2 linked regions of the Lonchura striata genome follow. The protein of the gene in region 1 binds, or shares a complex with, the protein of each later gene. Links are inferred from orthologs where the notes say so. Each region holds a gene or a part of one and is shown in the gene's direction. Other genes may lie near its edges.

Region 1 (7,576 bases):
AATGCAATAGTCCGTCCATGTGGCTGAAAATAGCTCCTGACCTGGTACACAGGATTTGTCCAAGTCTCTGTCTTAGGTCACATAGGAAAGTCCACTCAATCAGCAGAATTTTAGGCTGGCGCTTTTTTGACAGTTAAAACTGCTGAATTCGTTTATGGCTAAAAAAAGAATGCCAGGAAGATATTTTGAAAGTGCTGCCTCGGAGGCCTCCATCAGAGGTGAGCTAAACTTAGAGGGCCTGAGGTAGGAAGAGAAGTGTGTGAGTGACACCTCCAAGGGACAGCTCCATCCTCTGGGGACCAGGCTCCTGCCTGCAGTGCCTGGCCTGTCTTTAGGGGGAGGAAAAATGGAATCATTCCAGGCACCAGCTCTCAGTTAGAGGCCTGATGCCCTTAAAAATTTAGAGATTAAAATGACCAAGTGAAGCTTATTTTTAAAAAGGATGCTGTTGAGTCTTTCACATTCATTCTTCTTCCATGGCCAAAAGGAAAAAAAACTTTAAAAAACAGAGCAATCGTGGACAGTCTCTCAAGGAAATTTAAATTGGTAAGTGCAAACCATCCAACAACAGTTTGGGATGTGTCTCTGTCTTCATCCAACACCAGTTTGAGATGTGTTCCTGCCTTCATCCAACACCAGTTTGGGATGTGTCCCTGTGTCTCATCCCTCATCCAACACCAGTTTGGGATGTGTCCCTGTGTCTCATCCCTCATCCAAAACAGTTTGGGATGTGTCCCTGTGTCTCATCCAGCACCAGTCTGGGATGTGTTCCTGTGTCCTCGCCTCCTGCCTTGTGACCACTGGGTCTCTTGCTGTTTGTTTTGAGTCCCCTGAGCGCTGCCCTGTCCCCTGAGTCACCCAGAGCCGGGTGGATCCGTTCAGCACTAGGAGGGGGAGAGGTGTGAAGTGACTCACGGGGATAGGAACGCACTGAACGCTTCTCAGGCTCAAGACCTCACAGTTAATCCTGCAACCCCACAACATTCAGAGCAGAGCCAGGGAGTGCCCAGAGGGAAGGGTTTGCTGTTCAGAACTCCCCTGTGCACCACGTCCTGGCACACCTCATCCCTGATTCTACAGGAGCTGTTACTGCAACAACAGCCTCTTATTTACAGGACTTGGATGGCACCCATCCAAACAGGGCTTCAAGAGTGCTGGAAAAAATATAGGCGTTCCACAGTGACTGTTCTACATTGGAATAATCTGTATTTTTTGTATTAATATTTTTTTCTTTGGCCATGATGATGCTGAAGTGTCATTTTCACAGAAGTCAAGTGAGATTCAAGCCCCTCTGTACTAACAGTGGGTTCTGAGGAGTACAAACATTGCTGGGTAAGCTCTGTGCCTGCAGATAAACCTTAAATGTCACATTTTTGTGCAATGTTGTGAAAAACAAGCAGGCTAAAGGAGTGCCCACCCTCACTGCAGGCATAAAAATCACAGTGTTCATCTCCTGACTATCAGTACAGAGTCATCAAACAATCACAGAATGTGGAAGGGACCTTAAAGATCCTTTCATTCCATCCCTGCCATGGCAGGGACACCTCCCACTGTCCCAGGCTGCTCCCAGCCCTGTCCAGCCTGGCCTTGGGCACTGCCAGGGATCCAGGGGCAGCCACAGCTGCTCTGGGCACCCTGTGCCAGGGCCTGCCCACCCTGCCAGGGTGCTTTCTTAGTATCTAATTTAAAGCATTTAAATCTAAATCTGTTATAGCCTTTCCCTGAAGTACAGAAGGACCATATTGTCCTATGGTTTTTCTTTCCCTCTCAGGCTGAGCTGAGCTGCTGCTCCTCTGTCACTGTATTTATACCTGTGTACATGGAACAATATTTTTGTTGCAGTGTAAAATGTGACTCGCAGCAGTAAACTTGAGCACTGCATGCTCAACATCTTCCATGTTTTACACACGACAGCGAAACAAGACTAGGAAGCTGATTTAAAATAAAGGCTCTGGATTTACAGGATATAAGGCCAGGATAGCTGCCCCTGGATCCCTGGAAGTGTCCAAGGCCAGGCTGGACAGGGCTTGGAGCAACCTGGGACAGTGGAAGGTGTCCCTGTCCATGGAATGGGCTTTAATGTCCCTTCCTGGGACTCAATGTACCAATCTCCAGACATTGTAATTAAAAACAAACATAGACTCACACCAGGGACCAGGGAGGAGAGCCTGTTGTGTCCAGAAGACACACAGAGCTGGATGGTCCCAGCCCAGGCTTTGCTGCTGAATGGGGCAGCTTTGGGCCATATCCCTGGATTTGGGCAGCCCCATTCCTGGCTCTGCTCCATCCCACCCCTTCTCCAGGCAGTATCACACCACCAACTTGCTTGGTTCTCAATTCATGGACAAGAACACCTCATGCTCTATAACACAGAAGCCAAAATGAGCAGCAGGGGCTCCCAAGGGCTCCAAGAGCTCTGAGCCACCCCCCTGTCCAGGATCCGAGTCTATCATGGTCACTGTCACAGCAGCTCAGCCTGTCATGGTCACTGTCACAGCAGCTCAACCTGTCATGGTCACTGTCACAGCAGTTCAACCTGTCATGGTCACTGTCACAGCAGCTCAACCTGTCATGGTCACTGTCACAGCAGCTAGCCTGCCATGTGTGAATGCCCCCTCCCAATGGCAGCACTGCCACACCTGCCCAGGAACACCCAGCAGCCAGGGTTAACAACAGAGCACATGGAAAGGAGCTAAAACCAAAACTTACACATGATTTGTACAGCAGGGACGGAGTTTATTAATCCAGTCCCTGGAACTGGAACAGGGGCTCACACGGGCCTGGCCCAGGTGTACTCAGGGTGTGCTTCTCCCAGCACAGCACAGTTACCTTCACCTGTGCTCACAAATCTCTGCCCACTCTCCCCACAACAGAAACACTGCCCTTGGTAACAGGAAATTCCCATTTTCCATGGAAAAGAGCCGCACTGTCAATCACTGCTCACAATTTCAAATATCACCACAGCACCTAATTAATGTGCTTTCTTGCACTCTGAGCTTGCTTAATTACCTGGTCAGGTTACCAACAGGGATAAAGTCTCATGGAATTACAGGGTTTAGGCCAGGCATGGAGCCAGTGGGGCAGGGATGGAGAAGCTCACAGCCCTGTGCCCTCACACAGCCACAAGGGAAGAGGCCAGAACCCAGTGTGGGGAAAACAGCTGTTATTTCCTGTTGGAAATTATGTAACTCTCTTAATTGTTTTAATTAATTGCAACCAGTGCCCACATTCAGATAGCACTAGTTAACTTTCTTCACAGGCTCTTACAATTACTTTGATCACTAAATAACCAAAACCTCAGATTTGCTACAAGTAACTCAGCCAAGCTTCAATAAACAAAGCCAAAGGGAGTTGGAGATTGGACATCTGGGATCTTAAATTTATGACCCTTCAAGTGTGTTGGAGTAAGCAAAAAATGCAGAGGAGATTAAGGCATGGAAAGTTGGAGATTCCCTGACTGGGAAAAAGATTATAAAAGTAATAAAGTATGTGGACCAGATTAGTGTGAAGAGTGAGAAATTAACAACCAAGAGCAGATAGAACACTAAGTAATAAAGAGAATTATGTAACCTAGAGCAAATGAACATGAATTGGTTTGCTAAAAATGTACAAATAAGTGAAAAAGTTTTGTATCTGTGTTAGTGCAGATGCTGGAGCTTTGTCAGCTACACACATTCTTGGCTAAGGATACAGAAATGCCTGACTCGCTAAGAGTGTCACACTGCCTTAGAGGGAGCCTTACTGATCCCAAGGGCTTTGGGGGATCTTGGGAACATTCCCAGAGGCAGCAGCTCTGCCCCAGGGCTGCCCCAGCTCCCCCTGTGCCTGGCCCTGCTCGCAGCCCCCAGTAACGGCAGTGTGACCACCTGGACCTACAGGTGAACCTGTCCCTGTGCATTCACCTGAACCTTCACCTACAGCTGAACTTGTACCTGCACCGTCCCCTGCACGTGAATCTGTCCCTGAATCATGCCCTGCACCTGAACCTGTCCCATCACCTGAACCTGTCCCATCACCCACATATGAACCTGTCCCTGCACCATCCCCTGCACCTGAACTTGTCCCATCACTGCACCTGAACCTGTCCCTGCATCATCCCCTGCACCTGAACCTGTCCCTGAAACATCCCCTGCACCTGAACCTGTCCCACCACTTACCAATGAACCTGTCCCTTCACCCACAGATGAATCCGTCCGTGCACCATCCCCTGCACCTGTCCCTGTGCCTTCACCTGAATCTTCATCTATACCTGAACCCATCCCCTCACCTACACCCGAACCCATCCCAGTCCCTTCAGCTACACCTCTCCCTTCACCTACACCTGAACCTGTCCTCACATTATCACCTACACCTGATCCCATCCCCTCACCTACACCCAAACCCATCCCAGTCCCTTCACCTACATCTGTCCCCGTCCCATCACCTGCACTTGTCCCTACACTTGCACCTACACCTATGCATGCATACATACACCTACAGCCACGCCTGCCCTTTTCCCGTTCCTACGCCTGCCTCTTCTCGCTGTCCCTTGCCTGTCCCCGCCGTCCCTCAGGCCGCGCCGCCATTTCCCGCCGCGGTGCGCGCCGGGAGCGGGCGGGGCGGCGAGCGCGGCTGGGTACGGGCGGGCCGGGCGGCTGAGGGGCCGAGGGGGCCCGTGTGCTGAGGGGCCGAGAGGGGCCGAGAGGGGCCGAGGGGGACCGTGAGGGGTCCGTGTGCTGAGGGGCCGAGAGGGGCCGTGAGGGGTCCGTGTGCTGAGGGGTCGTGAGGGGTCCGTGTGCTGAGGGGCCGTGAGGAGTCGTGAGGGATCCGTGTGCTGAGGGGCCGAGAGGGGCCGTGAGGGGTCCGTGTGCTGAGGGGCCGTGAGGAGTCGTGAGGGATCCGTGTGCTGAGGGGCCGTGAGGGGCCCGTGTGCTGAGGGGCCGTGAGGGGTCCGTGTGCTGAGGGATCCCCCGTCCCGCGGGATCCCGCCCAGCCCCGCGCCCCTGACGCCGCGTTTGCCTTGCAGGAGGCCCAGGATGGCGGAGAGACCGGAGGACCTGAACCTGCCCAACGCCGTCATCACCCGCATCATCAAGGAGGCGGTGGGTGCCGGGCCCCGCGGGGCCCCGGCCCGCGGGCTCTGCCCTGCGCTGTCCCGCTCGGGTACCGGGGCTGCAGCGCTCGCTGCAGCTCCCGAGCCATGCAGCTGCACCGCTGCAGCGTCCCGAGCCACGCGGCTGCACCGCTGCAGCTCGGCAGCAGCGCAGTTCCCGCAGTGGCACTGTGAGAACCAGGCCCCCTGAAACTTCAGCACACGAGTCCATGTCTATATAAAAATCCAGAATAATTCGCTGGGGTTGATTGAGCGCGTTTGCTCTGGAGCTGTGAGGGTTGCCGAGTGGATCTGGGCCTGGCGGGCGTGTCTGGAGCTGGGCAGGCACAGGATGAGTTACCTGAGACAGTGGCCAGACCCCAAACGCCGGAGTCATTGGGCTTGTGCTCAGCTCTGTGCCTTCGAGGGACACATTCCTACTGCCCTTGGCTTCCAGCTGGAAGCAGAGCTCCTGCGACAGCACCCCAGAGCAGTTCCCAGTTCTTCTGAGCCCTCTGAGTGTTTTAACAAACTGACACTTCAATTATGGAGTTTAAGTCGTTTTTAGCAGCTGCTGATAAAAGTTGGATTTGTTTTTCAGCTTCCTGAGGGAGTCAATATTTCCAAAGAAGCCCGGAGCGCGATCTCCCGAGCAGCAAGTGTGTTTGTGCTGTATGCAACATCATGGTAAGGACTTGGTGCAGCAGTCACTGGGGCACTTGATTGATAATTCATTTCTGCTGGCCTGGGGACTCTCTCCCAGTGTTGGTTTTCTGTTTTGCCTGTTTATATAAATAAACTAGTCTGCAGCAGGTGGGTTTGGACTGCCCAGAGCAGCCCTTGGGAAGGTAGCTGGGCTCTGGACACAGCCATGTCCCAAAAAAGGGGGGTCCCCAAAAAGAGGGGTCCCAAATTGCCATTAACCTTAGAACGTGGCTGCACAGCCTTCCTGGCAAAGGCAGAGCGCTTGACTCATTTTCAGGCTCTTCATCATGAAGCTGTGTTGGGGCAAGAGCTGCCACAGAGGACACAGTCACGTTTTTGGGGTGGCTTGGCGTATTCTCTGCAGGCAGTCACTCCTCTAGTGTCAGGGGCTTCTATGGAACCCTAGCCCTTCTAGGGCTCTGTGGAACTGTCACAGCCAAGGCTCAGGCTTTCTCCTCCTGCTTGTAGAAAAGGTCTGTGCAGGCAGAAACTAACCCTGTGGGAAAGCACAGACATTGTAAATAAAAATGTCTCAAGCCTCCTTTAGTAAATGGTAAAGAAACCTAAATGTTTAGGGGATGGCTTTTTAAAGTTGCTTATGACTTCAGTAAACAAGATGAAATTGCCAACAGTCCTCAATTACCTCTCTTTTTGGTTCTGCCTAGTGCAAATAACTTTGCCATGAAGGGGAAGAGGAAAACCCTGAATGCTGGGGACGTGCTTTCTGCCATGGAGGAGATGGAGTTCCAGAGATTCGTGGCCCCTCTGAAGGAATCCCTGGAAGGTACTGTGCTCCGTGGGTGTCCAGGGACTCTGAGAGGCACCAAGTCCTGTTCTCCTCCAACGCTGGACAAGCAACACTTATTGCCTGTCTTGTTTCTCTTCTCTTTGCCCAGCATCCTACCTTGCAGTTTGCCTGGGGAGTAACTAATGTGCACCTTAACAGGACTGGGATAACATTCTTGCACAACTGATGAGGATTGAGAAAGTCTCATCTGCTCTCACTCCCCTATTATGTTTATCTAAGGAAAGCCGTAGGTGCTGCCTGTAAATGTGACCTGCGTCCTTTTCAGCATTTTTCTGCTGAAATTTAACCTGATTTCCTATGGAGCTGCTCAGCACAGCTCAGCTCGTAGGGTGAGTTGTGCTCTGAGTTCCCTGCTCCCCTCAAAGCCAGGAGAGCAAGTGGACGTTGGGCCTCAGCCACTGACCTGTCCATGCCAGCGCCAAGCCCTCACTGTTCCCTCTCCTCCAGTTTACAGGCGTGAGCAGAAAGGAAAGAAGGAGGCCAGGAAAGATAAAGACAAGAAGGCAGACTCGGAGGAACAAGATAAGAGCCGAGAGGAGGACAATGATGAGGATGATGAAAGGATGGAGGAGGAAGAACAAAACGATGAGGAAGAGGTGGATAACTGAGCTCGCTCGTGGGCAAGGGCTGGGGTGTGCTCAGAGGGATGTAAACGCTGTAAATCGACCGTGCTGCATCCCCTCGTGTATCCATTAGAGCTTTGTACTGCCCCTCTGTGGCCTGTACTTTGTAAAGGACTCGTGCTGAAGCTTTTTCCGTGGCAGGGTGGCTCCTCCCTGTGCCTGGGGGCCTTTGGCCCTCCCCAGGCTCTGGGCAGGCACTTCCGGGGCTTTTGATGCTGGGCTGGCTCTGAAAGAGAGGAAAAAAGAACTGGTGGGTGCTCAGTGCAGAAACTGGCCAGGAGAAAGACTCCTGATTTTGAGGGGCTGAATGCAGTAGATCATTCAGAGATCACTTCTGGGGTGTAGAATGTAGGTGATGATGTCCAGAGG
Region 2 (7,389 bases), on another chromosome or scaffold:
TCCCCGCCTACAATGAATCCACCACTTTTCCCATCATACTTTTACATATATAGCAAACAAAAGGGCAGCAATTACAGTCAAGGTTCCCACACCTTACCCTAACATCACTATTACCCTAACATCACTATTACAAATCAGTCCTTCTTCTGTGTAATATGGGTTGGGTAAGTACTCAATTTGGTATTTACTCATCAATAGTCCTTTCGTTGGATTTTCAGTTTTAAATCTCCAGGAGAACTGGTCACTTGCCACTTGGGTACTGGTTTCTCCACTGGTCCTTTAACTCTGCTGGCATGGGTCCATCCTTTCTCGGCTGTTCATACTGCAGTTTCTGTAGTGAGCAATACAAGATAAGGACCTTCCCATTGAGGGGTTAGTGATGTCTCTTTCCATGTTTTTATTAATACCCAATCTCCTGGTTGCATTTGATGTATTCTTATTTCCAGTGGAGGTCTCTCAGCTATCAATCCCTTTTTCCATAGCTCATTTCTGTATTTCATTAAATTAACAATATAGGTGTTCATGTTTTTGTCCCTTAGATTTGGATGGTCTTGGGGCTCTTCTAGATTATAAGGCATTCCTATAGCATTTCAAAAAGGGAAATTCCCATGTCGGATCTCGGTTGGGTTCTTATGTTCAAAAGTGCTAATGGTAAACACCTTACCCATGACAGTTTAGTTTCTATCATGAGCTTTGTCAATTGTTTCTTTATTTCCCCATTCATTCTTTCAACTATTCCCGAGCTTTTAGGGTGCCATGGGGTATGGTAGTCCCATTTTATCCCTATTGTTGCCATTACTTCCTTGATAATTCTGGACACAAAATGGGGCCATTTGCTTGTGGACCTTGGATATGTTGTGCATCCCAAATTTGCATTCCCGCATTTCTGATCATATTCTTTTCCTCAGCAGTAAAGAAGATGTTCATGATCGACTGTAACTCATCCCAAGTGTATATGTTAGGACCCAGAAATTGATCTAATCTCTCTGCAACCCCTAGAGGATCTTCCAACAAATTCCCCATCTCCTTCTTAAAATCTCGTACATCTCCCGAGCTGAGTGGAACCGAAATAAACCCAATACCTGGTTGTGCCCCTCCCATGGGCATTTCCCTCAATGGTTACAGGTTATGCTGTCTAGCTCTGCTCCTTGTCATCGGTCCCTCATGCTTTGAGGATTTGGGATTTTCATCCTCCTCTTCCGAGGACATATCTGGGGGTGGGGGAGCATTTGGGTCTGGCGGGGGTACGTACAGGGGTGGAACTAGCGGGATTTCTTCCTTCTTTTTATCCTTTCTTCTTGCCCCGGAGTTATCCACGGGCGATTTTTTCTTTCAAGGGGTATAAAAACACTCTACTGCCAGGACTTTCTACCCATATTTTTGCATATTCACTCTCCTCCTGACTGAAAGGGGTTTTGGTGTTTACCCACATGTTCAGGTCCTGCTTCATCCAATCTTCTGAGGACCCAAATATGGGCCAATAAACATTGCGTGATATTTGTTTCCTCCCCACACTTCTACACAGTAATGAATCATTTTTGCCTTATCTTTATCTCCAGTGCCAGGGCAATGTCTCCAGTTGTGTATCATAAACCCCAATGGGCTGTCCCCAGGAACTGGGGGAAGTTTTACAGGTACAGAGGGCTTGCTCTTCCCCTGCCCCATCTTCTGGAGTGCCTTCAATCGTTCCACGCAAAAACCAGCTTCCCCTGGTCAGTGGCTGTCGTGGTTTGACACGGAAAGAGCAATGAGAACCGCACTACTGAGGGTCCGCACTGTTATAAATGAGATATACACATAACAGCGCTCACTTGGGGAGTCCGAGCTGCCAGCCCCCCTCTAATACACCACACTCGTCACACTCCAGGATCCCGACCCCTTTTAATACTCACGCTTCCTGCGTCTTCGTCCGGACCTTTGTCCAAAAAGTTTATAGGGTCGACCGGTCTCCTTTTGCTTTAATGCCTTGAATTTAGGTTCGTCGGTGGGAGCGAGGCAGGGACCGATCACCAAGGCCACCAGTGCTGGGGCGCCTCCTCGGTAATCGTGCCCTACTGTACCAATCCCATCCGAGTCACGGCACCAAATTGTGATAAATCTGACCACACATTTGGATAAATATGATCGAATCAAGGAATTTTATTAATTACAGCAAGCAAGGCAAAAGCAAAAAACAGCCCTGGGCGCAACTGCCGCAACCCCAGCAGGTTTCAGTTCATCTTTTATACAGTTCCGTTTCCTGCTGACGTGTCTCAAGCTGTGCTCTGCGCCTGTGCCTTTCGCTTGGCAGTGGTCCTGTGATAAAGGCTGGGCGGTGTATTCTGCTCCCGGTGGTCCTGTGATAAAGGCTGCGCGATGTATTCTGCTCCCGGTGGTCCTGTGATAAAGGCTGGGCGGTGTATTCTGCTCCCGGTGGTCCTGTGATAAAGGCTGCGCGATGTATTCTGCTCCCGGTGGTCCTGTGATAAAGGCTGGGCGGTGTATTCTGCTCCCGCTGGTCCTGTGATAAAGGCTGGGCGGTGTATTCTGCTCCCGGTGGTCCTGTGATAAAGGCTGGGCGGTGTATTCTGCTCCCGGTGGTCCTGTGATAAAGGCTGGGCGGTGTATTCTGCTCCCGGTGGTCCTGTGATAAAGGCTGGGTGGTCTTCCTCATGCTTGAGTTCCTGGATCTTAAGGCTTTTTGAGCAATTAGACATTCAGCAAGAGCATGTTTGCATATGAGTTTCATCTTGATCTTAGAGCCTTAGTTTTCTGTTTTTAACCCTTTAATGGACAAAACATTCCTCAATCTATCACACTTCCCAGCTCCATTCCCTGCCCTGGACACGCTCCAGCCCCTCCACGTCTCCTGTCAGGAGGGGCCCGGAGCCGCCCTCAGGACCGGCGGTGCCCCGTAGAGCCAGCCCAGGGCACGATCGCTGCCCCGGGCCGGTCCCGCAGGGGCCGAGCGGGGCCGAGCCGGGCTCCTCCCGCGGCGGGGCCGGCCCGGCCTGAGGGGGCGGCCCGGGCGCGTTTGGCGCCATCGCCGCCATGGAGCCCGAGCGGCTGCGGCGCCGCCTCAGCTCCGCGTTCCGCCTGCGGGGGCTCGTCCTGCGCCCGTGAGTAGCGCCGGCCCCGGCCCCGCTCCGGCCCCGGCCCCGGCCCCGCTCCGGCCCCGGCCCCGCTCCGGACCGGCCCCGGGCGGGCCTCGGGCCCGGGCAGCGCCGGGGCGCGGTGGGGCCGGGCCGCTCCGCATCCCCCGCGCCGCCGCCTCGGGATGTGGGGCTGCCTTTCCCACCTCTTCCTTGCCCCGCATCCAGCTCTGGAGGCTCCTCCAGAGCCATCCGCCTGTCCTGCTGATGCAGGCCGCTTTTACCCATCCCTCTCATGGCCCTGGGTGCCACCAAAAGCTGCCCGTGGTCTCCCCTTGTAGCCCTCCCTGATGTTGGTGCCGGGTGTTTGGTTGAGTTTTTTTGTCTGCCCCGGACCCTGACAGCTCTGGGATCTGAGTTCCACTTGCCAGTCTTGTGCTCAGCATTCTTTGCTAGAGGAAGGGATGGCATTTCCAAAGACAGGAAGGGTGTATTTCTAAATATAATGGGATGTATTATTTAGAGATGCTAAGGTCAATTAAAAGGGATTCCTGCTTGCAGTGGAAGGTGTCATGATTTATAAGAGACTGGGTTTCCCATCGCTCTTACTTTCCCTTTCTTTCTCGTGTGTATTAATATCCATTAAATGATCTTTCTATTGTGGTTGGAATGTGATTCTTTAGGATACTTTCATTAGAGAGCAGCACAAGTCCAGAACTCCTGACACCACAGTTCCATGAGCTGAGATGTTTTGAAGGTCAGGCTGATCACCAAAATGCCACTTTGGTTGGCTAACAGATGACATTAATAAGAAAATTTTTATATTTAATGCAAGACTCTTGTCTAAGGCTGAGGGGAAAACCAGATTTCTAAATCTTGTGTTATTGAGAATGAAAATAACTTCTATTTCAAATATATTGATAAACTGGAGCAGGTCCTGTGGGAGCTGTTGAGGTCCTGGGCTGGAGGCCAGGAAGAGCTGGAAGCTGCTCTGGTGACATCCCAGCTTCAGGGCTACACACGGATTTGGAGTCCAAAATGAGAGATGTGGAGCTGCTGGAGCGAGTCCAGAGAGGCCATGGAGCTGCTCCCAGGGTTGGAGCCCCTCTGGAGCCGGGCTGGGAGAGCTGGGAATGTTCCCCTGGAGAGGAGAAGCTCCAGGGAGAGCTCAGAGCCCCTGGCAGGGCCTGAAGAGGCTCCAGGAGAGCTGGAGAGGGACTGGGGACAAGGGATGGAGGGACAGGACACAGAGAATGGCTCCCACTGCCAGAGGGCAGGGATGGGTGGGAGATTGGGAAGGAATTCCCAGAGAATTCCCAGATACTGGGGTGGAATTCCCAGATTTGCTGTGGCTGTCCCAGCATCCCTGGAAGTGTCCCAGGCCAGGTTGGACACTGGGGCTTGGAGCAGCCTGGGACAGTGGAAGGTGTCCCTGTTGTAGGCAGGGAGTTGGAATGGGATGAGCTTTGAGGTCCCTTCCCAGCCAAACCATTCTGGAATTCTGTGATTAGAGGGTCAGAGAACGTGGCATGGAGAGGATGTGAAGGATTTGGGTTTATTTAGCCTCAAGAAGGGAAGATTCCTGAGGACTTAATCCCAGTCTTCCTAAAAGTGAGAAGTGTTCTCAAGGATGCACAGTGACAGGGCAAGAGACATTTAATTCTTCATTGTAATAGTAATTAAACTTTGAAATTGATGGAGTAGGGAAGTGCTGGAATCTCCCTCAGTGGAAGTTCTCAAGGCTTGGCTCCACAGGGCCCAGGAAAGCATAACCCAAGCCCTGCTTCCAGGAGAAGGTTGGACCACAGGGTCTTCAGAATTCCCTTCCAACATGGAATTTTTTAAGTGAAGCTGAGGTTCTCCACATCTTTTCCCTGATATTTTCAATCTCAGTGATTTTTTTCTTTGACTTTAAACCCACGTGCTGTTATGCAGAACTAATTATTTCTGCTTTTTAACCACAAGCCACGTGGTGATGATGCGCACACCTGCCAAAATCAGCACAGTTTGTGTCAACTATGGAATATTAATTGCTTTTTGTGCTTTCTCCTCTGGGATTAGGGACGCCCTGAAGTATCTCACTGAAGCTTTCCAGTCCACCAGGGAGGGAGAACTTGACGATATAATTGAAAATGTCATCGATGCAGTTGAAAAACAGCCTTGTAAGTAAACAATTTCTTTTTCTTGAGCCGGTTTTCCTGGCATTTCTGATGTGATCAAGGCAGTTACAGCAGAGCCACTGAGGTGTCACTGCAGTGTAAAGGGTTGATTGAGATAAATGTATTTTTTGGCCTTTTATTTTGTCAGCAGAAGACATTTGTGCCAAGTAAACAGTTGACAGTGCAGAATATCCTGACTTTTCCAAGAGTAGTAGCATTTTTCAGTGACAGTCATTAAGAGTTTGTCTGGACATCTTTGTACCTGAAACTGTAATTTTAAATATAAAAAGTGGAGACAGACTATTTACACATGGAGGGACAGGACACAGGGAATGGCTTCCCACTGCCAAAGGGCAGGGTTAGATGGAATGTTTTGAAGGAATATTTTAAGGAATATTTTGATGGAATATTTTGAAGGAATTCTTACCTGTTAGGGTGGGGAGGCCTTCAAACTAATTTCAATTAAATGAAAACAACAATGCGCCCATCTCCAGAATTGTGTTGGAATACTTAAGGCAGCAATCCTTGTGATAATGTTCTGGAACCAAACACATTTGTGATATATTTGGCAGCTCTGCATAAACTGTAATTGTCTTGTTCTCCATGTTTGGGGAATTCAGGGTGGGCACAGGGTATTTTTTTCCCTAGGAATTTGTCCTTTTGGTGGCAATATTAAGTGAGCCATCTGTGTGTCATTACAGAAAACATGAATTATTTGTGTGTATTCCATTAAGGGGACTCAGCCATTTAATGTAGTGAAATATTGGGCACCCGCTTCCTTCCCTGCTGCAGGTTTTATCCTTGGGATTTTTCTTTGCAGTGTCATCCAACATGATTGAGCAGCCCTTGGTGGAAGCAGCTGTCCAGGAATGCTGCCGGGCCCCGGATGAGGCCATGTAGGGTGACATTATTAAATTTTATGGGAACTTCTGGGAGCTGCTGTCATTTCCTTGTTCCTCCTGGGGAAAGGAATGCCAGGCCTTGTCTGCAGTCATTGCTCTGTGCTTTTGCCTTCCTGCTGCTGCCTTTGCACCAGTGATGCCTCAGGTTTTGGCTTTTGTATTTTTTTACATTCTGTGCTGCTTTAGTGTGCAGTTCTGAGCTTCACATGAGGGGATGCTGAGCTCTGTGCACAGAGCAGGGAGACAAAACAATTCCTGCTCCAGGTGGGCACCAAGGACAAATTATCCAAACCTCAGCCCCAAGAGCACAAACAGGGTGGGCTGGAGAGAGAAAAACAAGCAGGATGGGACTGCCTGGGCTAAAGCTGGAATAATTGTGACATCTTCAAATCCTGGCTGATGTGCCTTAAAAAAGCCTTTGAGTATTAAAAGCCCCAAAAGTGAAGAAAGGAAAGAGCAGCTCGGTGCTGGAGAAGAGTCACTGCTTTACTCTAGGAATCATTAATAATCAGAAGGAATGAGATACAAAAAACCCCAAACATTTCCAGGTTCAAAAAGCTTTATTAACACACACTGACACGTGCAAGGATGAACTGAGCTTGCAGCAAATGTGGGGGATTTTTTGCAGTTTGTAAAGACCATTTTATCCTAGGGGTGAAATGCTTCAAATGGTTAAAACCAAGTGGTGATTCCCCAGGTTTCAGCTTTTCTATTTTACAGATTCTGTGCTGCTTTAGTGTGTGGGTCTGGGCTCCAGATCAGGGGATGCTGAGCTCTGTGCACAGAGCAGGGACACAAAACAATTCCTGCTCCAGCTGGGCACCAAGGACAAATGATCCAAACCTCAGCCCAGGAGCACAAACAGCGTGGGCTGGAGAGAGAAAAACAAGCAGGGTGGGACTGCCTGGGCTGGAGCTGGAATGGGACAATGAACTCCAAGGTGCCAATGGAGCAGAACTGATCCCAGGGAGAGCCCCGGGAGCGCTCGTGCATTTTGGGACCATTTTGGGTCATTTGGGTGCAGCCCTGGCTGGGCTCTGGTGCTGCCCAAGGTGGATCCATGGAGGAGATCCTTTAATAAATCTCTGCTTTATTCTGTGACTCCATCCAGCCTCTGCTCTGGGTCAGGTTTCACAAGGCATCACCAGGCTGCTCCTTGGAGCGTTTGTTCTCATGGCTGGGCCTCCAGGGGGCCCTGAAGAGAATCTGGAATTCTGGAATTCAGCTGCTGGTGTTGTGTGTTGGGTGTGCTGCAGG

Evidence for each region. Proteins that work in one complex are often made in the same cells at the same time.
Region 2: POLE3 (region 1) and POLE2 share a complex: the UniProt entries of both Homo sapiens proteins name them as parts of the DNA polymerase epsilon complex. The link is inferred for Lonchura striata from reciprocal best matches to the Homo sapiens genes POLE3 and POLE2.

What each region holds. Positions count from the first base shown.
Region 1 is NC_134624.1:4,748,423-4,755,998, reverse strand, and holds POLE3 (DNA polymerase epsilon subunit 3), read left to right. Parts: upstream 1-4,573; 5' UTR 4,574-4,615; intron 4,616-4,817; exon of another isoform or gene 4,818-4,840; intron 4,841-5,005; 5' UTR 5,006-5,015; coding exon 5,016-5,081; intron 5,082-5,672; coding exon 5,673-5,758; intron 5,759-6,441; coding exon 6,442-6,560; intron 6,561-7,031; coding exon 7,032-7,192; 3' UTR 7,193-7,294; downstream 7,295-7,576. UniProt on the Homo sapiens protein: Accessory component of the DNA polymerase epsilon complex. Participates in DNA repair and in chromosomal DNA replication.
Region 2 is NC_134608.1:1,889,494-1,896,882, reverse strand, and holds the start of POLE2 (DNA polymerase epsilon subunit 2), read left to right. Parts: upstream 1-4,376; 5' UTR 4,377-5,046; coding exon 5,047-5,233; intron 5,234-6,050; coding exon 6,051-6,126; intron 6,127-7,389. UniProt on the Homo sapiens protein: Accessory component of the DNA polymerase epsilon complex. Participates in DNA repair and in chromosomal DNA replication.